Neodiprion lecontei: one gene and its partners. The protein of the gene in region 2 interacts with the protein of the main gene of each other region in a biochemical or structural test. Links are inferred from orthologs where the notes say so. Each region holds a gene or a part of one and is shown on either strand. Other genes may lie near its edges.

Region 1 (8,050 bases), on a different chromosome or scaffold from region 2:
TCAGTTTGATGCTCCAGCGATTCTTCTATCGTTGTCAGCGGCATGGAATGATTATCTGAATTTTCACATTTTTCATATTCAGGGTGAGTCTTAATGTGGGAAAGAAATGATTTTTGATAGGTGAACTGTTTCGCACAGACTTTGCATTTCATTTTATAATTTTTTTTATCTGTTTTCTGTTTGTATATCGAAATGTCAATGTCTTTCTCTAACTTTTCCCCTTTTCTATCAGTATCTATTGCACCACAGTTATTATCAATATCAACTCTGTTATCATTTTTCAAAGAATCATGATTATCTGACACATGATTCTTCAACTTTGCAACAGTAGAAAATTGTTTGTCACACAAGTAGCAAACATATCTCAATTTAGTTTTGTGCTTGTGAATGGTCATGTGTCGTTGCAAAGCTAGATTTGTGGCAAAGCTCTTGATACAGTGAGGACATTTTCGTCTGCTGGTTCTCGTGATCAATGGTTTCTCTTCGTCACTATCATTCATTTCTTCATTAAAAATTTGACAATTGTTGGGTTTTAATTTACCCGATTCAGACGAAACATCAGCTTCGTCTTCCCCTTCAGAAAGTAAACTATTTTTTAATTCAAACTTGAGATCATCATGAAAAATAATTTCATCCTGATTGTTCCTCTCTCCTTCTAACAATTCACATTCCTCTGACAATGGCATATCCTCTTGTTTAATGGGTTCTGGTTCAATATTTTGATCTGTCGAATCAATTAATTTACCTACTGTAACACCCTGGTCATCCAGCAATATCTCTGTACTCTCCAAAGCAGATATTATCTCCCGCTGGCTGAAATCGTCATCTTTCTCTATTTGCTTATCAATTGATTCATCGCTCAGGCTTTTGTCCTGCATTTCCTCCTCTTGTGAAGACTCGTTACCACTCATGCACTCCTCACTGATTTCAAAAGCTACTGTACTTTGTTTATCATCAAAATTAGTCAATACTACACGCTTCATCTCTTGTGCAGCTTGTGATTTTGATACACTCTGCATTTCCAATTCCTTTATTCCTGTTTGCTGATTAGGAATTTCGTCAGCAATGGCTTCCGTGATAACATCATTGATCGATTGTGATAATAACTCCTTAGCTGCATCTCCGTTTACTTTTACATTCGATAGCAATATTTTACGTAAAGCAGCATCAGATTTTTCAACCTGACATTTGAAATCATAAGACATATCCAATAGCTGACGACATGAAAAACAAATAACACTTGGGAGACCGTCGCCGTGTTCTACCTGTAAAAATGTTTAAAAATACATTGCCAATAATTTGTAAATTGAATTGTTAAGGAGTGTGAAGTAATGATAGTAGTAGTGTAACAAACAAAATACAAAGAATTGTTTATATTTCAAATGCAGTCTGGGTGGTTGAATAAGCGACGTTTATTGTTACCAACTGATCGAAAATTAGTTCTGACGGCAAATATGAATTGGAAAAATAAAACATGTTGATGATCGTAATATAACAGTGATGATACGGTTGAAAATGCCCAAAAACTAACCTGTATAGCTGCAAACGCCATGATTTTTCTTGGAATATCCTCATCATTTTGGAATAATTCCCAAAACTGGTTGCAATTTTTTAAACAAATACGACACTCCTGGATAGAAGCTAACTGAACTTGCGAAACACATTCGGCTGTTTCTATTTTTTCCACTTCCATTTCCATCACGAAGAAATACTCCGCTGAGCCCCGTCTTGCTGCGCCATTTGCTTGATTTTACTTTAAGTGACGTAGCGCTTAGTAAGGTAGACCGGTGGATGTGTTCGAAAATCTTTCGAACGAAAAGGATTCTAATTTTTCCTGTCTTTCTCTCATTTGGGTTAAAAGAAAGAGATGAAACCATAAGACTTGTAGAACAGTATCGAGCAGCTCCAAACAGTTGAAGTAACGATTATAAAAATAAACACTGCAAATCATGAGCTATCCGGGTAAGTCGTCATTAAGCTATGTATGTTACACGCGACTTAAGTAACGTATCATAACGTGTAATATACATGCTGATTTCAGCCGCGACAGTACGACACTGTTGCTTTGGGAACACCAAAACATCCTAGTCTCCTCAAGCCGTGGAATTAAAAGTAAGATAGCCTGATGTGACAGGCTAACGCGTATCATCTTTAATGAGCGTGAACATTGCCCGTGGCTCAAAGCTGTGAGCTGTCATGTGGTTCAGCAATTTCCAATCTGTTGGGTGAAAATTATATTATATTATACTTGACGTAGTTAATCGCGTGAAGTGTTGCCTGTGATAATACATAGTATATTTGTTGAAAGTTGAGGATGCAATGCCAGCGCGTAGACGACGAGGTGGCTCCGAACACGAAATTGATCCAATGATCACAACCTCCAACAGTGCATATCAAAATCGTGATTTTGGACATCAATACTACAATGATAGAGTTGTTTCTCAACAATTAGATATCAACAATAAACAGCAAGAAGCTAACTTAGTGACAATGACTTCGCGAGACAGGACCAAAGAGTTTGCGAATGCGATTCGCACGATGCAGGGAAGGACAGTGGCGCGAGCCGCTGTTATGAGAGATCCTAGACAGGCTCGTCAAATACAGAGTTATTCCAATTTTATGATGATTGCTAAGAATATTGGAAAGAATATCGCTAGCACTTATACCAAACTGGAAAAACTTGCGTTGCGTAAGATGATGTTCAATTAATATTCATTGGTATATTTGTTACTTTCACTTTTCACACGAATGAAAACAATCTTCTAAATCCTAGCTATCCTTGAAATTTTAAGTAGCTGCAAACAGTTATTGAAAATTTAAATGAAATGACACGAGTTTAAGAATTTTACTGCAAAGAAGAAACTGAAATTTGTTTCAATGAATTTTTCCTTGTATGTTGTAAGGTTTAAAAATAATTCAATATTCGTCTACAACGTCCATGATGTTTCTTGTTATTGTAGTGGCAAAGAAGAAATCGTTGTTTGACGATAGACCATCAGAAATCCAAGAATTGACTTACATCATAAAAGGGGATTTGAATAGTTTGAATCAGCAAATAGCAAAATTGCAAGAAGTAGGTAGACAACAGCGGGAGAGTCTTGGGACGACACGTGGCCATCACCTTGCCTCTCACTCCTCTTCTGTAGTCGTCGCTCTGCAATCAAAATTAGCCAACATGTCTAATCACTTCAAAAACGTTCTTGAAGTGAGGACAGAAGTAAGTATAACATGTTATAAATGCCGTTATAGACTTCATAGTTTCAAACAAATGGATAAAACTTCATATCTAGATTATGGATGTCCAAACTCTGATTATTTCAACTTCTTAGTTTAATGGTTTATCTTCTTTTTTTTTTATTCTATGCTGTAACTTTGAATATAAAATTCATTTGAGCCTCCTATCATTTCTGCTTATTACATTTGTGTAGTTGAAATATTACATTCTGATTTTACTGATATAATTCAATAACTACCAGCCATGTATACATGAAAACATAATAATAGTTTTCCACTAACTTGAAACAAACTTGTGTAGAACTTGAAACAACAACAATGCCGAAGGGAACAGTTTACACAAGGATCGGTATCTTCGTCGTTACCTCCTAGTGCAGTATCAGGGCGTCAAGGTTCCTTGCTTCTTCAAGAACAAGCAAATTCTTCCTCTGTTAGCATCGACTTGGAACCCGCAATGGGACAGCAAGTAATGCAGCGTCAAGCAGTCCTCTACGACGAAACAGTGAGTAATCAATTGAGCTTCTTATCAGTAATTAGAATAACAGACATACTCAAATTGAATTTGTTCGTCAGGATACTTATGTACAGTCGAGATCAGATGCTATGCAGAATATTGAATCTACAATTGTTGAACTTGGAGGAATCTTTCAACAACTGGCTCACATGGTCAAAGAACAGGAAGAAATGGTTGAAAGGTATGATAGCGCTAGAGTTGAACATTATTCCTACAAATTTTTCATTATTGTAATCTTACGATATTTTGTTTGTTCAATTTCAGGATAGACAGCAACATACAAGATACCGAGTTAAACGTAGAGGCTGCGCATGGTGAAATTTTAAAATACTTCCAATCAGTCACGAACAATCGGTGGCTGATGATAAAAATTTTTGCTGTTCTTATATTCTTCTTTATATTCTTCGTTGTCTTTGTAGCATAGGGCAAAAATCCGTCAAAACGATATACTATTATAATTATGTATATTATTTGACCATTTACTTGTATTAAGAACTTATTAAAAAAAATATCTGTTTAACTGACGCGGGAATAACTTTTTTTTTATAAAGTAGGTTCAGTGTGGATATTGTACCATAAGCATCGAAATTGTATATTCACAACTGTTCCGTTTACGGGAAATTAGCTATTTTTAATATTTTATAAATATAACAGAGTATTTGCATTCATATGTATATTATCAAACTATACCGTACATAGTGATAATTACGACAATATTCAATTAAATAATCACATGATAGTTAATTGAATTGTATTATCTTAGAAAAACTATATTTGTACGGTTTAGTTGCTAATATTAAAGTTTTACCGTAATCACCTAGTAAGAATATTCGAGCTTCTAATGCTGAAATATTTTCGCAATATCGATTTATCTACATTAATTTTGAATCAATGTCGCTTAACACGGCCAATCCATCAATTGAATTTTTATGCATCTCCACCTAATCATTGTGTACAGTGAAATACAAGTTATTGAGGCCTTGATCAATTGTGTGAACTGGTATAGTCATAAGACTGCCCTTGACACTTAACCACAATTCGTATACGATTACTTGCGAGTCATGTGTCCCATTATGGATATAACAAGTAGCAACAGTTAATCGCAACAAAATATTACACACAAAATAGTATCTATTCTTGCCTAGCTGGGTGCCTTATATGTATATTCTAAAGGAGTGGCAGTACAATTTCATACGTCAACACAATCGATCTTGGCTTTTACAATATCAATGTAAGGAATGAAGTGGGCCATCATTTCGCAAACTGCGTAACTGCAATTCTGATATTGGCAACTTATACTATTGTATCACTAAATTGTGGTTTACGCGAATGAATAGGCTGGTTATATTTGTATAAAGTATAAAGTTGTTTAGGCAAAGGTTGATAGAAAAATAAAATTAAAATACTACATTATGTATAAAGTTAACGCACTTTATGACATTCCTCAGTACTGTAGTAATTTCACTCAGCAGCTATTACTTATTTTACTCAAACTTGGAATTGACAAACTTGTTTTTCTGACAATAGACGATCAAGATTGAAGTTTTATAGAGATGTAACAGTAACTTTCACGAAATTATTTTTTATAGATTTAAACTCGACTAGGCAAATTAAATCCACATGTTAATTTGTAAAATATTGACGGTAAATTTAAAAAATGCATTTAATAAATGATCGTTTTATGAGCATAATTGTCCCGGATTTCAGTCAAATTCGAAGCCATAACTCGCGAATAATAATAAATTACAATTTATTTTGATTCTTTAAAATCATAAATATACATTTTACAGTGTGATTGTTATACTAAATATTACAAATTTTTTTCAACATGATTTCAATAATCACATTTTATTTTTATACAAATGTTCATATCTCTACGCATATATATAAATATGTATACCTGCTTTCCTTTGAAACGTTCGACTATAACATTTTCTGAAACCATGTAGTGTAAGCTATTTAGTATTTCCACAAAAACTCTTACATGAAGTGATTTGGTATCTACACATTAGCAAGTACGAATTTGCTACAGTCGAATTTCATCATACTCAGACGAAAATTTTCGAACATAGCCACATCCAAATTACGGATAAGTTCTTCAAAGTATTGATAATGCATAATTCAAATTTGAAGTAGCATCATTTTATTAAACGGGAAGAAATCTATGGAATGAAATATTAAACGTATTTCTGGTTCCAGATAAGACAAAAGGCTTAGGCTTTTCCAGTATGATTTGATTTGTCCAGGGAGTCTCCAGAAGAATGTAACGAACCTACAAATAAAATAACAATTTATACATAAACAATAATTCAGATGCACATGCGTATATATAATATATTTGATTCTAATTTGCTTGGTAGCGTATTAGTGATGGTATGGATCTGGTGAATCAAGTAATCAAGTTAGTGCGTTATGTTTTGGAATTTCAAATAACAGTCTGCAAGCAAGAAAGCTTAACCAAGTGTCAAAAATTGATTCTACTTGACAAATGCTTTGATTTTTCCGTTCAGGCAACATTTTTAAACATTGACTCTACTGAAAACCAATTATGAAATGGGATGGTTAAGCAAACTAAGGTGAGTCTGTGCCTTGCATTAAGTGCTATGCGTGGTCCTTAGGACAAGTGTAAGCAGTTGGCTTTACAATTAACCACTAATACGTATACATATAAACACAAAGCCAATAAAAAAACAGAAAAATTAAATAAGTAAGTGCCATTAGTGTACAAAGAAAAGCTGTAATGTTAAAATAGTACTGATTCAATATGTGTAAAGTAGTTAATGTTTCACAACTGAAGATCGATGATAAAGACGTGTAATTGAGCATTCTACTCTATGACGTGGTGCTATATGAATAAATATATTCTGCTCAATAACTGGATTACACAATTACCAACTGCTAGAAAAAAAGTACATAAAGTAAAGATCTAAAATAAACCTGCCACAGATTCTATTTTGAATTATTTCCTTCCATTGTACTCCAAAACTGCCTTACTTTAGAGAAGCGCTTGCGTCCTTGCGTGCACAAATATAAAAATCCAACCGATTACAACATGACGGAAATAAGAATCATTCCAGTTTCCCTAAAGCCGGAGGTGAGGTGATGTGAGTATTTTGTGTGAAAGCTTTTATGCGATTTTTGAAACAAACCTTTGTGATTCCGTACACGCTGCTCACGTTGATGGGGATGGAAAACCGGATTTCGTGTGGGTGGTAATATATCATCCCCCCATGAATGCAAAGTTCCCAAAGGTGGCAAAAATGGAGGAGGCGGACCATGATGATACATATGGGCATGTTCGTTGCTAAATGGTGGCGGTGATCGATGGTTGTAAGAGGGATGTAACGGAGGTGAAAGCGGTGGTGGTGGAGAACTGGCATCTTCGTATCTACCAGGTGGATGAGGAAGAGGTATTGGGGGTGGTGAAGACAGACGTCCTCCTAATGGTGGAGGCCTCCTACTAATATCGTACATTGGTCCCCCTCCAGAATGTGGCGGTCCCGGTATAACGGGATACGGAGGGTACGGTGGGAATGGGGGTATAGGGGGAGGAATACCTGAGGAACCAGTAAACAATATAGGAGAACTTGATGTCTCTGCTCCCAAAAATAATTGAGGGGATGATGCTGTCTCTCCATTCGTCTCCATGCCTGCGTGGGAGTTTTCATTAAATAAACATAATATGTAGCTGTACCCTGTGTATCAGTGACAAGCTTTTACATTATAAAATACGATCAACTTTTACCTGATCCTGATGCTTGTTACTAGTTATAATAGTTCCAAATTAAGAAGGAACTATATTCAATATTTCACAAATTTAAATTTTTTATATGACTTTCAAATACATTTGAAAAAAGCTGAATTCTCAATAAAAGTAAATACTACCTAGCAAAATATTTCATCTGTTGGTCACTAATATTTCAAAGACTTTTTAGATTAGACTTAAGGCTTTTCGATGTCAGGTTTCAAAATATTACATTAGAAGGTCACCATTTGATAAACTAGTATCACGGAAGTATTTGTAAAACTGTCAATACAAAGGGTTTCGCCTCGTAATGTAAGAGTATAAAATATCCAAGTGTTGTCAGAATATTAAGTAAAAGATTTGATGGAAAAGTAACATTACCACTAGAAAAAAATATTCACATCAGAAATAATATACTTACGATGTAATTTTGAATCAGCATCTACTTCATTTATACTTTTCTCCACCAGGGTCAGTCGATTTCGTAATTGGCTGGCTTCAGCCTTCGATTCTTCCAAGCGTCGTTCACTTTGTCGAGCGATTACCTAGAAATTATA
Region 2 (8,880 bases):
GACGTCATGCGCCTAATCATACAACTTCATAGATATTTATTTCATTATGTATACCTAATATGTAGACACATGTATTTTTACAAACGAGCAGTCATTTATTCTTCATTACGAATTTTCTGGAACATATTATAGTTAAATGGATTGTACTTATAAACAGCCGCAGAAAATATATTTTGAAAGTAAAGCCTGCAGGCAATCAATCTATCAAATCTCTATCCTTACGATACCTAGGCATGAGGCATCTTATTTTTTGTTGTTTCATTTTTCTCTTATTTTCTGAACAAGAGGTCACATAGATCCACGCAAGGTGAGGTCAGGGACTGCCTGAAATGATGCAAAGGTATCAGTGGGGTGAAAACCTGAGAAGCAAGAACCACTGCTAACTGTAACTATATGTATAATATTAGAAGACTAGACTCTGGTTTCTAATGCTTCGCACGATGTGTAACGCATTTGCTGCCGGTCTTGCAGCCAGTTTTCGGGATTATATGTATATGTATGTTACATATCATGTGCATAGAGTTGCTGTCAAGCGTTTGTTGTAAACGTCATTGTTGTGTCACTCTGTCAAGTGTGACCAAGCTGACTACGTGCACACATGCAGATATTCGCCTTGACAAGTGTACGTAAATAACAGTTTCAGCGATCGTTTTGTACACGTGCCACCATTTATTCGGAAAATACATAGATTGCTCGTTTCTTGTACCTTCTGTTTATCTGTACAGTATATACATACAAGGGTGTATTTATAGCTGCAGCAGTTGATACCGATGACAAAATTACGAATAAATGGTATTAAGAATGCCAAAAAGGACGCAGAGTCCAAACGCGTGGATCGGATTAGCATTTGCACTTTTTCTTTGCTTTTTGTACGTTGGCCATACCATGCATAAACAAAAGAATATAAAAAATTGATTACCGGGAACTCAGGCGGTTCCATCAAACTACGTGACTAAATGAGCACGTGGAGCATCGGCTACGTAATTAATAGAGATTGAGCAAATCGTCTGTAATGGTGAAAAAAATAATATTCATGAGTTCGATTAGCTGTCGTCTATAAATGGCTTAATAGTTAGGAAAACAAATATGGGCTTTTACCTCATATTACTCAGACAGAAATCAATTAGCGACTTTTGTTTTTTATAATAAAAATTCATTGGTCAATAGTTAGAATGCGATGAGTACAGACTTGTAAACAAATGTAAAGTGCAAAGCTATGCAAATCCGCATTTTTAAAAGAGAAAAAATTTTTCATCAACCACACATGAACAGATACTTCGTACCGTTGTCAACCTTCTCATTTTATGGCAATAAAATCAATGGTCACACCGTTCAAGTTTCTCGTTTGTAATCGTTAATATTTTTCGAGAACTGATTGTGCGGAGTACGGTTATTTCTTGAATTTATTCTAGGCGAAATCAACCAGTCGAACCGAATAATTAACAAGCTTTGAGGCAGAATCGGACATGCAAAAGTCCTTTGAATGTCATCGGTGCTGTGCATCAGCTGGGGAACCGGGAGACCAGCTGTGGATACAGCTGATGAGGTGACATTGAAAGTAATACCAGTTCATCGCGACATCCTTTGAAGTCGTTGCGAACTAGTCAGGCCAGCCGAACTCATTCGTGGTCATGGTAATAATATTTTTTACGAAATTCTGAAGTTTCAAATATTGCGAATTTGATTTGAAACGAATATTCTATTACAGAATAACGAAGTAGTTCTTTGCATTTAAGCACGGCAAGTTGTAAAACATTTTTTTCCTTATCCTTGTCTGCAGTGATGCGAACTACTCTATCAGCAAAAGATGTGTAAAATATATGACTTATTTATTTCCTCGAGAAGCGACGCGCGCGGAACGACTTCTTTTCAAATCCTCTAATTCTATCGATACATAGCTTTCATCAACGCAAGACCGAAGATGAGGTCGGCGGCTTGTTCACATAGATTATTTTGTTGATTCCAAGTAAACAATTTTGGCCCCAGACCGACTGTGAACAACTCTGGAAGATTCACGGGGTGCCACCTATTGATAGGCTAGTTCTTGAACTACTCAATTACAGCCGATACTACAGAGTACATACCGTCTTGTACACCCTGAGAGCCGCTATCTATTTTCCAAAATGTCTGCGCTGTGTGACGTGTAGTTTACATTGAACAGTGCAAATTTAAAAAAACATGGAATATTTCAAAAGTGGGCTAAAATCTGTTCTCGGTGCACCTCCGCCCGGGAACCAGCCGTCCGGTGCTGACACCGTAAGTATATTATAAATATTTTTCAGCGTCGTTGCCACAAAATACTTAGCCAATATGTGCTGTCAAATTGTCACATTTGTTCATTCATAATCTTGTCGTTTTTCGAGTCACCCGGTTTCCATGTAATTTTCCTCCTGGTCCACGTGATAAGATCTTGAGCTTCAATTGAACATCATGAAAGAAGAATATTTGAAAAGCTGTTGTAACATCTGTCTGATATTCGTTGCAGTACGACTCATGACATCCAACCACCTTCGACAGTCATTTTTATCGTTTGAGAATTTCCCAGCTCAATTAGTTGATATGTTTCACTTTTATCTGAAGTTTCGTAACGAAAGTGCAGCTGGAAATCGACACATTTAATGTAATTTCTGTTATCTAAATGTGTCTGTCAATACATATCACAACCTCAAACTTCTGTCCACTTATAACATATATAGCTGAATAATGAAAATTCCAAAATGAGTAATAACGTTCATATCAAGCCTAGGTCATAAACCTTCATACGGATTGCCCATTAGCGATATTCAAGTTGTCAATAAAAGTGAATTGTATTTTTTCCATTGACTACGAAGAAGTTTTCATTTGACTTCTGACCACAGGTAGAACGTTTAGTTGATCGCTTGCAATCGTCAAGTTTGCTGGACGACCGAAGAGATGCGTGCCGTGCATTGAAAGCACTTTCAAGAACATATCGTCTGGAGGTTGGTACACAGGCTATGGATGCACTTAGGCAAGTGCTTGAGATGGATAGAACAGATTGTGAGATTGTTGGTTTAGCAATGGATACTTTGTGCAATATTACAAGTCCTGAAACATTTGAGGCTGAAGGTAATAGATGAAACTAAATAAATGTTTATCTAGTGAAATTATGTGCAAATTTATGTAACTATACTTCTTTATTTTATACAATTCGATTTTCAGTTGAAAATTATGGGCCCAAGAACAAAATCGGAGAACAATTTACAGAAATATTTATCAAACAATCAGACAGCACTACTCAAGTTTTAGCATTTTTAGAGGAATTCGACTTTAGAGTTAGGTGGCCAGCCCTCAAGCTCCTGACACATTTATTAGGTAATCGACCAAAGGACATTCAAGAAATAATTCTTGTCAGTCCATTGGGAGTTTCAAAGTTAATGGATCTCCTCAGTGACAGCAGAGAGGTGATACGCAATGATGTAAGTGTACTTTTATTATTCTGATATTCAGATTTGCACAAGCTACATCATTATGTTTACACAGTGACACAAGACTATCGTCCCATAGGCTATCAATGTATTCCTCCTGAAAATCTGCAATTAAAACGTTTTTCACCTTTGATAGGAAATTTGTCTTTAACGAATTACAGCCAAATTGGCTAATCTGGCAGCATCCAGCATGACTAGAGAAATAAAAATCGTTTCAGACGCAGATTTTCAAAATAATCACATTGATATTCTACGGGCCTATAGTCCTGAGTCACCTTGTATACTAATATCATTAACTCCTGCAATCAAAACTTCTTTCAATTCACAGGCACTATTACTGCTCATACAATTGACTAAAGGTAATGCAAATATCCAAAAGATTGTTGCCTTCGAGAATGCATTCGATCGTATTTTCGATGTGATATCCCAAGAAGGTTCAGCAGACGGTGGTATTGTGGTCCAAGATTGCTTGTTGCTAATGTTAAATCTACTACGAGGAAACATCAGTAATCAAAACTTTTTCAAGGAAGGTAAGGTGTTGCAACTTACTGTAACTCATAAGGTTTTCAATCAGTTTCTGAGATTTTTCTGCCAGTCTACAAAGAAAAAGACTTCTCTTATCTTCAGATTTTTTAATGAGATTATTACTGTTCCAATAGGAAGCTATATACAGAGACTGACACCTATGTTTGATTTGCCACCGGAAACTGATGAGAATCCATTAAGTGGCTGGAGTCCTCAAAAAGTTTGCAATATGCATTGCATGGTACAAGTTATTAGGGCATTAGTTGCTCCCGGTGGTCCAGCACAGGTAATTTTGGATAGAATTGAACCAAAAAGATGTGGGTAATCTTTAGTAGAACCACATCAAAACTTTGTCAATGAGTTATGACATAATTAGATGTTCTTTAGAGTAATTACGTGCCTTAATTAAAGTTTAGGTGCTCGATGTTTTTCGAAAAAAACATCTCGTATCTCTTCATTATGTTTCTTGCCAAAATTGATCAATTATTCAAAAAGCACTATAATTACAACCATGTTGACGTATAATTTTAACATGAAACGATTGTGGCTAGTTTCAAGGCGAGGAGACAGTACGTTCATCAGTTATGGCTAAAAAACCTAGTAACTTCGCATTATTTTTTCTGTAAGAAATATCAAGTTCTTGGAGAATACTAAGAAACAGGAGATTAAGAATTGGATTATGATTGAGCATCATACGTAGACCTTTTCACTCACTGTTAATTATTGCCTGAAAACAAATATTTTCTGCATCAACCGATTTCCCAAATTCTTTTTATCTAATCGCTTTCTAATAGTCCTCTGCTACTGTGACGTCATATCGTACTTCATTGTTGGTTTCTCTTCCATAACTCTGATAATATTATTCACGTGCCAGAGGATTACTTCAAATGATACAATTTCATAAAATTGTCAATGAATGGTTAAATCGTGTTATTGTTATAACTATTCACCATGTTTAAAGGCAACAGCCGCTTGTCAACGGACGATGAGGGCATGTGGTTTACTTCAAGCTTTGTGTGATATATTAATGGCCAGTGGAGTTCCTGCTGATGTGTTGACAGAAACTATCAGTGCAGTTGCTGAAGTTATCAGAGGGAATACAAGCAATCAGGAATTTTTAGCTAGCGTTATGGCCCCTAGCAGTCCTCCTAGGTAAGCACCTCATAATTACATACGAAGTTAATCTCTGAAATTAAAGTGTGATAATAAATTGAAAGATAATGATTCCTCCATAATATGTTTTTTCTCAATGTATTCCATATCTTGTCAAGTAGTCACAGAATAGTATTCAAACATACACTACTCAAGAGTGATACCTAATCGAAATATGCTTTTTTCCATCAGTAGTCTGTTCAATTTTCTATTTTCCACAGGCCTGCTATAGTTGTTCTGCTAATGTCTATGGTGAATGAAAAGCAACCATTTGTTCTTCGCTGTTCCGTGCTTTATTGTTTCCAATGTTTTCTATATAAAAATGAAGTAGGACAGACGCAACTTATCCAGACACTCTTACCACAGGGTAACGAAGCAGCATCTCTCACAACAGGTATAAATCCAGTTACAATACATGGAAAATGTATATTCCAATCAATATTGTCATAATTCGTTTGACTATACATTTTTTGGGTAATCTGTCATCCATTTCTCAAAGGACAACTATTGTGTGGTGGCCTATTTTCGTTGGATCCCTTATCAAATTGGTTTTCGGCAGTGGCTCTGTCTCATGCCCTAATCGACAATTCGATCCAAAAAGAGCAACTGTTAAGGGTACTTCTTGCTACGAATATTGGCAAGCCGCCTGTTACATTAATGCAACAATGTGTCATGCTTCTTCAACAAGGAAATAAGACACAATGTAAACTGGGGCTTTTAATGCTACTTTGCAGATGGGTGTCGCATTGCCCACCTGCTGTAAAAGCATTCTTAACTATAGAATCTTCAGTCGCTTATTTGACCGCACTGCTGTCTTCTCAAGAAGATACTGACGATTTGCAAGAGACACTGCTTCAAAGTATGTGCGCTTTATTACTAGGCTTATGCGTACACTTTAATGATGACAGTGTGCCTAATTATACAAAGGTACTGTAGAAGGTTTGAAATATTGACCACATTTCACACTACTTTTGCGAATGCACTTTGACAGTTGAGTGATAATTGATAGGAAGTAAGTATACTTGCATGTTTTAGGAAAAGTTATGCCATTTGATAGAAAATCGACTTGGATTGGAAAGATTTCAGGATGCTATCGGAGGAATCACCCGACATGAAATTTACTCCAGAACTCTTAAACATCCTCAGCCTTCAACAAAAGATCCGTCTGATTTGCTTCTGGACCACGAGTTTTGTAGATTGCTGAAAATTTTGGAAGGTAATATGATTCCACGTAGTACTTTGTTTATAAATGACGGATGTAAAACGATATCTAATTTTGTGTAATCTACATAGGTGTAGTAGTGAAGTCAGTACAGGATGGAAGTAATCCACAGGAGGGCAAGGATCCTACGTCGACATTGTCGCCATCTGATTCTGCTCTGGTGTCACAATATAAAGAGCTTATCAGGGAGCAGGATGCACAAATCCACAGACTTAATCAGACGAACGAAACTTTGGCTAAAGAAAAAAGGGATTTGGAGGTACGTATTGGTTGCTGATGCATTAGGGTGGTGCAAAAAGAGAAAATTCTATTTTAGTCAAAATCGATGTTTTCAGATGACTGTAATGTGTGTTGTAATGATGATAACTATGTTTTCTTATAGAGGTTTGAAAAGCTTGAAAACCAGCTTCAAGGATCTATGCATAAGTTTAAAAAATATTGGATAGTTTACGAGTATTTTAATTTTTAACGAACAGTGAAATTTTCCCATGTTAATTGAATGGGAAATATAAATTAAAATAGTGGCCTATTAGTATTGAGCTAGAGAGTTCATCTTTTGGGAAGATCTTTTTTCTATCAAATACTAGCATTTGAGGGGGTAAGAGCGAAAAAAACGCAATTTTTTTTGAACCACCCTAATGTAGATATTCAATGAATGCAGGTGTGTGTGTATATATATATATATATGAATTTTATGCAGCATAATCATTACTTCTTGTACATTTTACTCTCATTTGCAGACCCAAGTATACGAGCTACAGACTTCCATCAGTCACTTGAGAGACCAGAATTTAGTTCTACGTGCAGCTCAAATAAACTTAACAGAAGCCAAGGAGCTTGTGCCATCTGTAGATACTATTGATCTTACAAATGTAGAATTGGAGAAATATAAAAATACGGTTCGAGATTTGGAAAACAGGCTAGCCGAATGCACGTTGAATTTGCAAAAACAAGAACGAACAGAATGTAATTCAAACAACAGTGAATATGAAAAATTGTTGAAGGAAAAAACATTGGAACTTGAAAAAATGAAAAAGGATCAGGAAAATTTGTTAGAACTTTTAACAGAACAAGATAGCAAACTGATGCAATATAAAGAGAAACTGGTTGCGCTAGGTGAAAAAGTAAGTTTGAAATACAACTTCCGTTACTTCTTGAGGAAATATATCAATCAGTTGTGGTATTTTTATTACAATTGTTTAACATCTTTTTCCAGATCGAATCAGACGAAAGTTCAGGAGAACTCGATACCGACGAGCAGCCAGAATCCAGCAATTAAAATATTACCGAAGAATGTTTAACTCAATCACGGGAATAAATTTTAGATCCAAAATGAAAGAATTATTCATTATTCATGGCATCATCTCTTCTCCATTTAAAACTATATTTAATCAGAATTACCTTGATCAAAGTATTTTTTATTAATTATATTTGTTAATTGGTCACGTTATTCTATTCCTATCTTTACAAATTAAATATTTATTGTGTACTTGTAGTCTCGTATAAACAATTACACATCAAATTCATTGAATTATTCTGGTTCGTTCAGTTGTTAGAAATTTGGTAGCTATTGCACGGGATTTATGAAGCAAATGTTTGGAACTTATTATTGGAAAGAGAACTTCTTTATGTTGTTTATTCATTTTGACAAATCTTATATTGAACAAGGCCGCTATACACATATTCATTTACTAAGGTTTCCATGTTCTAGACACACCCTCATGAGGAAATAGCCTAATGGAAGAAGCATTCCTTTTTTCAAAACTTTTCATGCTTGCTAAATTTGGTTTTACATGATTTGGAAACAAAGTCTCACATAGTCTTCATTCCGAACACGTCAAACAAGTTTTTACGGTGAAAGCAATCTTGGATACATGCAGTAGAGTTCCATTTCTATTTGGGTGTATATTGACAAAAAAAATTAAGTGCATAACAATAACTTACGAGTCTATGATATAAATATCTCAACTATTAGAATCTCTGGTGTAGAATTCTGTTACAAACATGTCGGAATTTATGTTGATGATGTTGTTCTCTATTTCTTGCATGTGGTTGACAGTAATAATGAGACAATTCACATGATAATTAATTTTATTATAACAGAATCCTATACTATATACATAAATACGTCAAGCTAAGTTTATAACTGTGCCTGACGTTGCTTAATAACAGCTTGCACGCATTTAGCCATTGTTGGTGATGCACGCGACACAACATCTGTCATAAAGAATTCATCTAATGTCTTCTGCTTTAGTTCAAGTGGATCTGATGCGAAACTTCCAGTTTTCTGAAAATAATCCACTCATTTTAACCTTTTTTCTCACATTTTGTCATTTCTTTTTTAAGTGTAAAACTGAATAATTAGCGTACCTTAGCCAGTTCAAGAGCCTGGGCGAAATAATTTGCTGGTTCAATATCACCATACCTAACAAGGTGTGGGGCCACTTGCTCTAGTCTGCCACGCACATCGTGGATAGTGTCGTAAGGAAGTCGGACACCGATGAACTATTGATTTTACACAAATATTAAAGAATT
Region 3 (7,956 bases), on a different chromosome or scaffold from region 2:
TTTACCCAAAATAGGAATTTATGTTGCAGTTCCAGTAATACAAAGTAATCATTAGCTACTTATTAATAATTAATATTCTTCAGTTTAGAAATTGTTATTATTAACAGGATTAAGTGTGATACGATTATTTAGAAATAGGTATTTACGTAATTTCTCTTATTTCCGAAATATTTCAACTCTTCGTTCCATTAATGAGCATCTTGTAAATGTTTAACATGGCTCAATGCGAATTTTGTTTTTGGATCGAAAAAATATTTTTGAATAATATATAATAATTGCAATCTATGATTAGGTTTGTAAATGATTTTAGAGGTCAGCTACCTACAAACATGTGTTACTGACAGTAACTGATCTGATACTGAATATGTATCATGAGGATAGGGTCTGTAAAGCAGCATCTTCGGACATATGTCAGAAAAGTGTATCTTGTACACAATAATTATTACAACATTTCACAAATAGCTGGATTAATTGAATGATTGTAAATAAATTTGGACCTCTCATTTATATTAATTGGTCGTTATTAAATTACTATGTTCATGCTATACTTAAGCTTGTCTGAATTTTTGCCATTATTTAGGCTAATGCAATTTTTAATTTTCAATTGATATATGAGGCATTATATTCTGGCTAGATGTAAATAGTTTTCAATGCCATTTAAACAAATTAGTTTCATCTTTAGTTAACTAGGTTCTTTCTATTATTAGCTACTTCTGGTTAACATGTGTGTGCTATATAGATACATTGCTCAGATTGTCACAGCATCCTAAAATCTGAGTTGTAAAGCAGTTCGTGATATTTTGCTTCATTAAGTTCATAATAATTCTCGCGAAGTGAAATGAATATTCAACAGAGTTATCTAACAATGATGAAACAAATATTTTTATAAGAACAGTTTATTCAGCATTGAGTGTTTCATTTTTTGTAACACAAATCATTATATCGGTATTACTCGAACTTATCAAGTTTGAAAGAATTTAAGACCTTTGTTGATCACAGTGTTCATCAGTTCAGATCCTCATCATCGAACAAATCATCGAAATCTAAAATAAATATAGTGTTTTTATCAATGCACATTTCCTGCAGCGCTTTTATAAAAGAATAAACCTTTTTGGCACAGAGTAAAATATATCTTCATCATTATTTGATACAAAACAAATTCTTACCATTGAAAAAGTCAGCATGCACCGCTTTTTCATTAGCAGCAAGATCCATCAACAATCCACTGGATCCACCAGCCTAAATAATGAAAAAAAAAAAACATCAATAACTTGCAGAGTATACAATTTTTTTTACTACCGAGCAATTTGATCTTGTTTGTCTGGCTGACGGTGTGAGGGTATTGGTCAGTGACGAGCAATTCTAAATCAATGCAATGCAGATATACAATCTAAGTGATCGTCAGCCCAGAAATTAAGTCACGTTTGACAGCTTTGGCACGATGGTTTACGATTTGAACGTATGTAATTTATGTTTTAGAATGTTTAACGGAACCTCTTCAAGATCCATATATGGACCAGCGCCTTCGGGGAACATTTCATCGGCCACAACAGTAGGTTTCATGTCGACACAATCAATTACTTGATTTGAAACAACAATTCGACGTAGAAATAGGATGAAAAATTCATATGCAATTGTTCTAGTTTAACCATTAAGTGTACATACCTATATGGAAACGTTGACTTGAGAATTCGTAATCAACGACAAAAAGAAAGAGATAGAATTACCAAGCAGTGGTCTCATTCTCTGAGTCGGTAACAGTAGGGAATTTCTGTAGTGCGAATTCAACTACAGAAAAAGTGTGCACCGAGTCCAAATTTCCTAGAATTCATCCAATAAACAGGCAAGAAAACCAGTGAAACCACACGTAAACGCACTTGTGAAGTTGAATTTGCCATAAGATTCTAAACTAAACCATTAGCGAAACAGCAGTGCTGCCTTTTATGCTCCGCATTTCGTATCGTGTTTCTCGTTTTCGTCAACGTCATCGTCCTCATAGGTAGAGAGGATCTTCCTCTCTGCCATAGCTTTCTCTTTTTAATCAAGGCTCACTGTGAGGTAGTAGTCCATCTCTATTAGCTATGGTGCACAAACACAAATGACTTAATACACCTGCATATCAGGACAATGTGTGTGAGTGGTGAAGTGGCACGTAGAGCGTAACCTCACAATGTTCTGTCATATTGTAATATTTTGCTCTATGTATTGTAAATAATTAATAGAATAAATATTGCGCGTGGATTCTGCACCAAGTACACTGTTTGCTCTTCGTACAGGTCAAAAACGAACCCTCAAAAATGAAAAAATCTGAAAAACTATTAGCAGCCAGAAAAAGGGTGAGAGCAGAGAAAATATAGTTATCTTTTCTGCGAACTTTTCGCTATTATTCATTACCGATAATTTCTAATCAAATGTTCGTTGTAATTACTTTGTGTAATATTTTCAAAATCGAAAATTGTAATGTACACACACAACTCACATGAATTAGTATCACATACTATAATGGATATTTCTGTATCATAGCTCAAGGAATTCCAAATGAGTAAAAGAAGTCACATGGCAGATGATACTTCAAAAGATGTAAACGAAAATACAGAAGAATCTACTCCGTCACAGGTGAAGAGAATTTCCGTTGTCCTTATTTAATCTGAACGAAGGTAATACCTTCATTAAAAAGTTTGATCTCTAACCATTAACATGGGGTTTACTTTATGTTTGTACAGATCGACAATACTCTTTATAACTCTGATAATAATTACAACTACCGGAAAATAGGGTCCCCAATAAAAGAGACTCAAACACCATCAATAGACAGCCAAGTTTCTGAAGCCCCTCAGCAAACTTCAGAATCGCATGATTTTTTGGAATTCAATTCCAATGGTGATATCACTTCTGCTGCTACAAAGCTGGTGAATTCTTCAAATCCTACTAGCGTTTTTCAAGACACTGTTGATTTCACTGTTCAAGAAAAACTGTCGGAAGGTTCCAGTATTATATCTAATTTCACAAATCTGACAGATGATGTTTCTAATAAACATCAAATTAATGACAATCTGATTAATGTTGAGAATTATTTTACCTCTCAAAATATAACGAATAAAACAGATGAAATTGATTTAGAGCAAGACATTTTATTAAAAAACGAGACACACAATGTAAATGCTCATGCAGAGTCAACTAATAATCGCAGTGGTTTACATACTGAGTATGAATCATTGGTCGGATCTCAGGCGTTGCAGAAAGAATATCTACTACAGATGACATCTGCCGTCACAAACATATTGTCAAGTGATATGGAGAGTAAAGACGTGCCACAAGAACTTACCTCTGATTTGGAAAAGAGAAATCAATTCTTGGCATTCTGCTTGCAAGAACAAAAAGAACTTGTTAACCGATTACATCTTGAAGTCAGCCAATATGTAAGTTTGGTGAAATCATTGGTTCAGACCAATTGACCAGCTAAAATCTTCATATTAAAAAATTATACAATTTCAATGAATTTTTTTTATATTCACAGAGGACGAGAGTGTCAGAACTAGAAATGATAATGACTACAAAGGATACAGAATTTGAAGCAAAGCTTTATCACGAATTGAATCCACTCAAAGAGCAATTACAACTTCATGCACAAACAACTGGCATTCTTGTAGGAGAAAAAGCTGAGCTTACTGCTGCCCTCGTTCAAAGTCAAACAACTACCAAGCAAAAAATTGGTAAAATTACTTATATTTTGTTAATATAGACTTGGTATTACACGCTAAAAGTAAAAATTTTATACAGTATAACAGATTGATAATCAATTACTTTTTATCAGCTGAAGTCGAAGAATTAAATGGAAAATTAAAATCGGTCCAACTCCAAGTCTCTGATTTAGAAAGGGAACTGAATTCTGTGAAAAATAGTAGCGAAGATGTCGGAAAAGTGAATAACCAGCTTCAATCTAGCTTCTACTCTTTAGAGGCGAAGTATTCTCAAGTGAAGTAAGTTTGCGCAGTCATGGGCCCTCATTATTAGTCTTTTATGACATATCATTGGATCTTTATTGGACGTTTTTATATTCTAAGACAAGAAAAAGACGACTTGGAATTAGAGACCGCTGAATTAAGGCAGAAATTAAATGTTAAAAATACTGAGTTAACTAACATTCAACAAGAATTGAAAGAAAAAACTGCCTTACTGTCCTTGAATGAACTCCGAATACAACAGGTACTTACAGTTTATTATAATCTCTATTCGGAACTCTATGATCAGACCTAAAATTGACCCGAAAATGTAGTGGAAATTAAGTGTCCAGCATGCCATATTCCAATCTAATACCTAATTACAGATGACTTCTACGACACAAGAAACCCAAGGTATCAGTGAGCAACACCATGTAGTAGCCGCACTGGAACAGCAGTTGAGCCAATTAATGGAAACTCTTAAAGCTGTCAGTAGTGAACGTGACGAAGCTAGTAACCATTACCAAAATTATGTTCAACAACTGAACAACCAAGTTACCACTCTTGCTCTGAAGGTAAGCCAACACGAATTTGCAATTTTGATTGCTGTTCTTAAATTATATTTAAATTGCAACGCTGATTACTGCAAATATTTTTCTGTTGCATCTTATTCATTTATTAATTATTTTTTAGCTCGAGCAAACTACAAAGGAGAATGCAGAAATAAGTAGTCGAGAGCACAGCCTTATTCAACGGTTGTCCGATCTAGAACGCCAAATACAAAGTCAGAAAGAAATACCTGAATCTACACCTCCTGTTATCAATGACAATAAAGAGCGAATTGATGAGTTAGTCAAAAATATTGATCAACTCACTTTAGAACGGGATAGTCTTCGAGCAACACTTCATGAAAAGGTGATTTAACTTTCTGGCTGAACTACAATAGTCCTCTAGAATGAAATTGAATATTTTACTTTGTTTTCTTCCATCTAGGATTCAGATATCGATGCACTCAAGCAAGAAATGGAAGAGTTGCAAGAAATGCGTGCAAGCAATGCTGAGGCGTCCCGTTTAGTCTCTGCTCTAGAAGGTGAAAGATTAGCGGCAGCTCGGGCTGTCTCTCAAAATCAACAGTTGAAACAGCAGTTGAGTGAAATGCAAGATGCTTTCGTACAACTTGTAAGTTAATTTAGAATAATTATTTAGTACATTGTCAAAGAAGCACAGTTTGTGAAAACAATTTTTTCACTATAGAGCAACACAAAACTTGATTTGACGGAGCAGTTACAAGGAGAGAGGTCGATTGGAAGAAAATTGAATGCTCGGTTGAATGACACTGAAAATGAAGTACAGAAATTGAAAGATGAAATGCAGGAAAAGGATTTACTCATGGCTGAGTTAGAGAAAGAAAAATTACACATGGCTCAAATTGCAGATCAAATGCAACACTATCAAGCTCAGTCTAATCAGGCTAGTACCTTGCAGCAAGAACTTCACAATGCGCAGGTAAATGTGACTAATTGGAACCATGAAATGTGCTTGTATACAAAATCAATTTGTTACCAATACAAACATTGGAATTTAGGAACGGATCGAAGTTTTAATGAAAGAAAATCAACAATTGATCAGCGAATTGAATGCTGGGACGATGTTGAATGATTCAACCGTTCAAAATCAAAACATTATACAGCCCAATGGTGAGTGTAACTTGCAAGCATTGAATGACGTGGAAAAACTAAAATTATCAACAGCAACAACACAGACTGACAATGAGTCGTATAGTATTGGTGACACGGCCCCGCCAATTAGCGAACAACAAGCAATGATGTCAGTTTCGCCCGAAGCTGTGAAAAAGTTGGAGGAACGATTTAAACATACTATGGAACGTGTTGCTGAACTCTCAGACGAAAAACAAAGATTGGAACATCTCGTTTTGCAGCTTCAAAGTGAAACCGAAACTATAGGTTAGCGTAGCCACACTGAACCGTTATATTTCAGGTGTAATAAAACCAGGATGTATAATTAAACATCTCTTTCAGGCGAATATGTTACATTGTATCAAAAGCAGCGTGGTGTCCTTCAAGAAAGGGCTAAAGAAAAGGAGGAAGCATTCCGCCAGTTGACAGAACAACGAAACACACAACAGGAACAGCTGCATAAACTCAAAATGCTTGTAGCTGAATTAATTAAAGAGAAAACTACGTCTACCACTACATCTGCATTATCGGATAGTACAAACGGTATATATTAATTCCTGTATTCAGTCCACATTGCTATTTCGATTACGGATTCTAAATGTTTGTTGGTTTTCTCGAATTTTTTTTTTTTTTTTATACATTGTTTCATTTTTAACATGTGTCTTCTAGAAGATGGTCTAGAAGCAAGCAAACACGTGGAAAACAAGACATCCTGTCAATCGGAAGTAGTTGCAGTCAAAGATAAAACTACGTCTCAAATTCTTGATCTTCTGACGGAAATTAAAGAATGCAAGGATACGTGTGCCTTGGAACCTAACTTCCATCCATGCCCATGGTGTTCAGGAAACTTGATTACAATTTAACCTTAAAACCAGTCATTAACTTATATTGCCTTAAAATTATTCAACTCTCAATTATTATGATTACTATAAACATATTCCTAAACAGAACATGTCAAAATTGTACATAAAATGTTGAAGTATTTCATAAATTTATACAATGTAGTACTTTCTTTTCAGTTTTCCTTTGTTCACTAACTTGCTTGTTTGCCAACTTATCGGCAGACTAAAAGTTATGAATTAAATTTTTTTTAAATTTACTCTCATATATAATTATTTCTAGGCTTTCAACAACAAAAAGTTCATTAATATTTTGATTATTTAACATAAACGGGTTGCAAGTAAATGTGAGCATTAAAAATAGCCGCTGGTCTTGTTGATGAATAAATTTACAAAGGAAAGGAATTGAAATGAGATATACACAAGTTAAATAAACTACCATAGAATAGTTTTATTGATAAATTTTGTTTTAATTTTTTGAGTAAGAAATTGAACTGTGTTTAAGCTTTCACGGCATATTTCCTGATGGGGAATGCAGATCGCTTGCGAATTTCTTTCAGAGTCTTACGACTCGCCTGGTAAGGAGTCAAGGCCCTGCGAATTGCTCTGGTCTTCTTTGGCCTCAAGTCTAAGGGCTTGTACTTCTTATTCTTGAACAAGCGTCGTAAATTCTCCTTTTGATACTGGTGCATAACAATGTACACACGAGCAATAGCTTTGCGAACGACGCGACTGAAGGTAAAGAGAAATTCATTGTAAATTAGGCAGCTTTAGTCATTCATTACATTTGACAATAACAGTAAACCGGCTACTACTTATCACATAAATATAACATAAGTGATTCAGAGCGAAAGATTAAACTATAAGGGGTTAGAACAGCTTACATTTTTGAGAGTTTGGAAGCGGCACCTCCTGTCACTTTGGCAACTCTCAAATTCGTCAATTCAGTTTTGAGCTCATCGAGCTGTTTGAGCAACTCCTTCTTGTCTTTCCTCCTCAGCTCGGAGCACTTGACCTTACCCTGAAATATCAATAGAACACTCACATAACGTCACGCTTAGAACACCTAAACAACAATTCCACATGGAAACCGCCAATGTAATAATGTTTTATTCAGGTTAAAAGAAAGAAGCAAGTCTAGATTATGGGTATGATTTTACAGACCGGCAATACGTAAAATTAACCTGAATTTGTGTATTTTATTTGTAAAATTATGTATGAAAATGGATTCTTTGGATAAATACGGATAACCGCAGTAAGAAATCCACAAACCATCTTGCTGCTGTTTGGCTTGAAGAAAGAGGGATTCGTGACCGGAACCTGGATTTTAGCTACAGGAAGTCAAGGATTTCAATTCAGTGGCCGTATGCATCAACACTTTTGTGTTCTTTCGTATAAAGCCATATGTCAAGTTAACAAAATTCAAAAAATTGACAAGACAAATATTCTTAACATATGAGTTAGTTTGGCTTAGAAATT

What was found.
Region 1: the proteins of general vesicular transport factor p115 (region 2) and syntaxin-5 form a complex in vitro, tested with the Homo sapiens proteins (2 studies listed by BioGRID). The link is inferred for Neodiprion lecontei from reciprocal best matches to the Homo sapiens genes USO1 and STX5.
Region 3: the proteins of general vesicular transport factor p115 (region 2) and golgin subfamily A member 2 form a complex in vitro, tested with the Homo sapiens proteins (2 studies listed by BioGRID). The link is inferred for Neodiprion lecontei from reciprocal best matches to the Homo sapiens genes USO1 and GOLGA2.

The regions. Positions count from the first base shown.
Region 1 is NC_060262.1:35,648,077-35,656,126, forward strand, and holds syntaxin-5, read left to right. Parts: upstream 1-2,173; 5' UTR 2,174-2,319; coding exon 2,320-2,689; intron 2,690-2,960; coding exon 2,961-3,217; intron 3,218-3,535; coding exon 3,536-3,736; intron 3,737-3,807; coding exon 3,808-3,929; intron 3,930-4,012; coding exon 4,013-4,172; 3' UTR 4,173-6,994; downstream 6,995-8,050. Other genes in the region: zinc finger protein 502, read right to left, coding at 1-1,265, 1,532-1,699. UniProt on the Homo sapiens protein: Mediates endoplasmic reticulum to Golgi transport.
Region 2 is NC_060260.1:30,779,390-30,788,269, reverse strand, and holds general vesicular transport factor p115, read left to right. Parts: upstream 1-2,102; 5' UTR 2,103-2,178; coding exon 2,179-2,256; intron 2,257-2,858; coding exon 2,859-3,087; intron 3,088-3,180; coding exon 3,181-3,437; intron 3,438-3,774; coding exon 3,775-3,976; intron 3,977-4,105; coding exon 4,106-4,257; intron 4,258-4,932; coding exon 4,933-5,123; intron 5,124-5,344; coding exon 5,345-5,517; intron 5,518-5,622; coding exon 5,623-6,050; intron 6,051-6,158; coding exon 6,159-6,339; intron 6,340-6,416; coding exon 6,417-6,604; intron 6,605-7,085; coding exon 7,086-7,473; intron 7,474-7,561; coding exon 7,562-7,770; 3' UTR 7,771-8,251; downstream 8,252-8,880. Other genes in the region: NADH-ubiquinone oxidoreductase 75 kDa subunit, mitochondrial, read right to left, coding at 8,486-8,632, 8,716-8,850. UniProt on the Homo sapiens protein: General vesicular transport factor required for intercisternal transport in the Golgi stack; it is required for transcytotic fusion and/or subsequent binding of the vesicles to the target membrane.
Region 3 is NC_060261.1:34,114,147-34,122,102, forward strand, and holds golgin subfamily A member 2, read left to right. Parts: upstream 1-1,889; 5' UTR 1,890-2,297; coding exon 2,298-2,336; intron 2,337-2,523; coding exon 2,524-2,616; intron 2,617-2,723; coding exon 2,724-3,419; intron 3,420-3,517; coding exon 3,518-3,713; intron 3,714-3,814; coding exon 3,815-3,980; intron 3,981-4,064; coding exon 4,065-4,206; intron 4,207-4,321; coding exon 4,322-4,516; intron 4,517-4,634; coding exon 4,635-4,856; intron 4,857-4,934; coding exon 4,935-5,120; intron 5,121-5,195; coding exon 5,196-5,447; intron 5,448-5,526; coding exon 5,527-5,905; intron 5,906-5,980; coding exon 5,981-6,181; intron 6,182-6,307; coding exon 6,308-6,501; 3' UTR 6,502-6,836; downstream 6,837-7,956. Other genes in the region: COP9 signalosome complex subunit 9, read right to left, coding at 1,006-1,043, 1,167-1,239, 1,495-1,563; 60S ribosomal protein L35, read right to left, coding at 6,978-7,209, 7,362-7,498, 7,750-7,752. UniProt on the Homo sapiens protein: Peripheral membrane component of the cis-Golgi stack that acts as a membrane skeleton that maintains the structure of the Golgi apparatus, and as a vesicle thether that facilitates vesicle fusion to the Golgi membrane.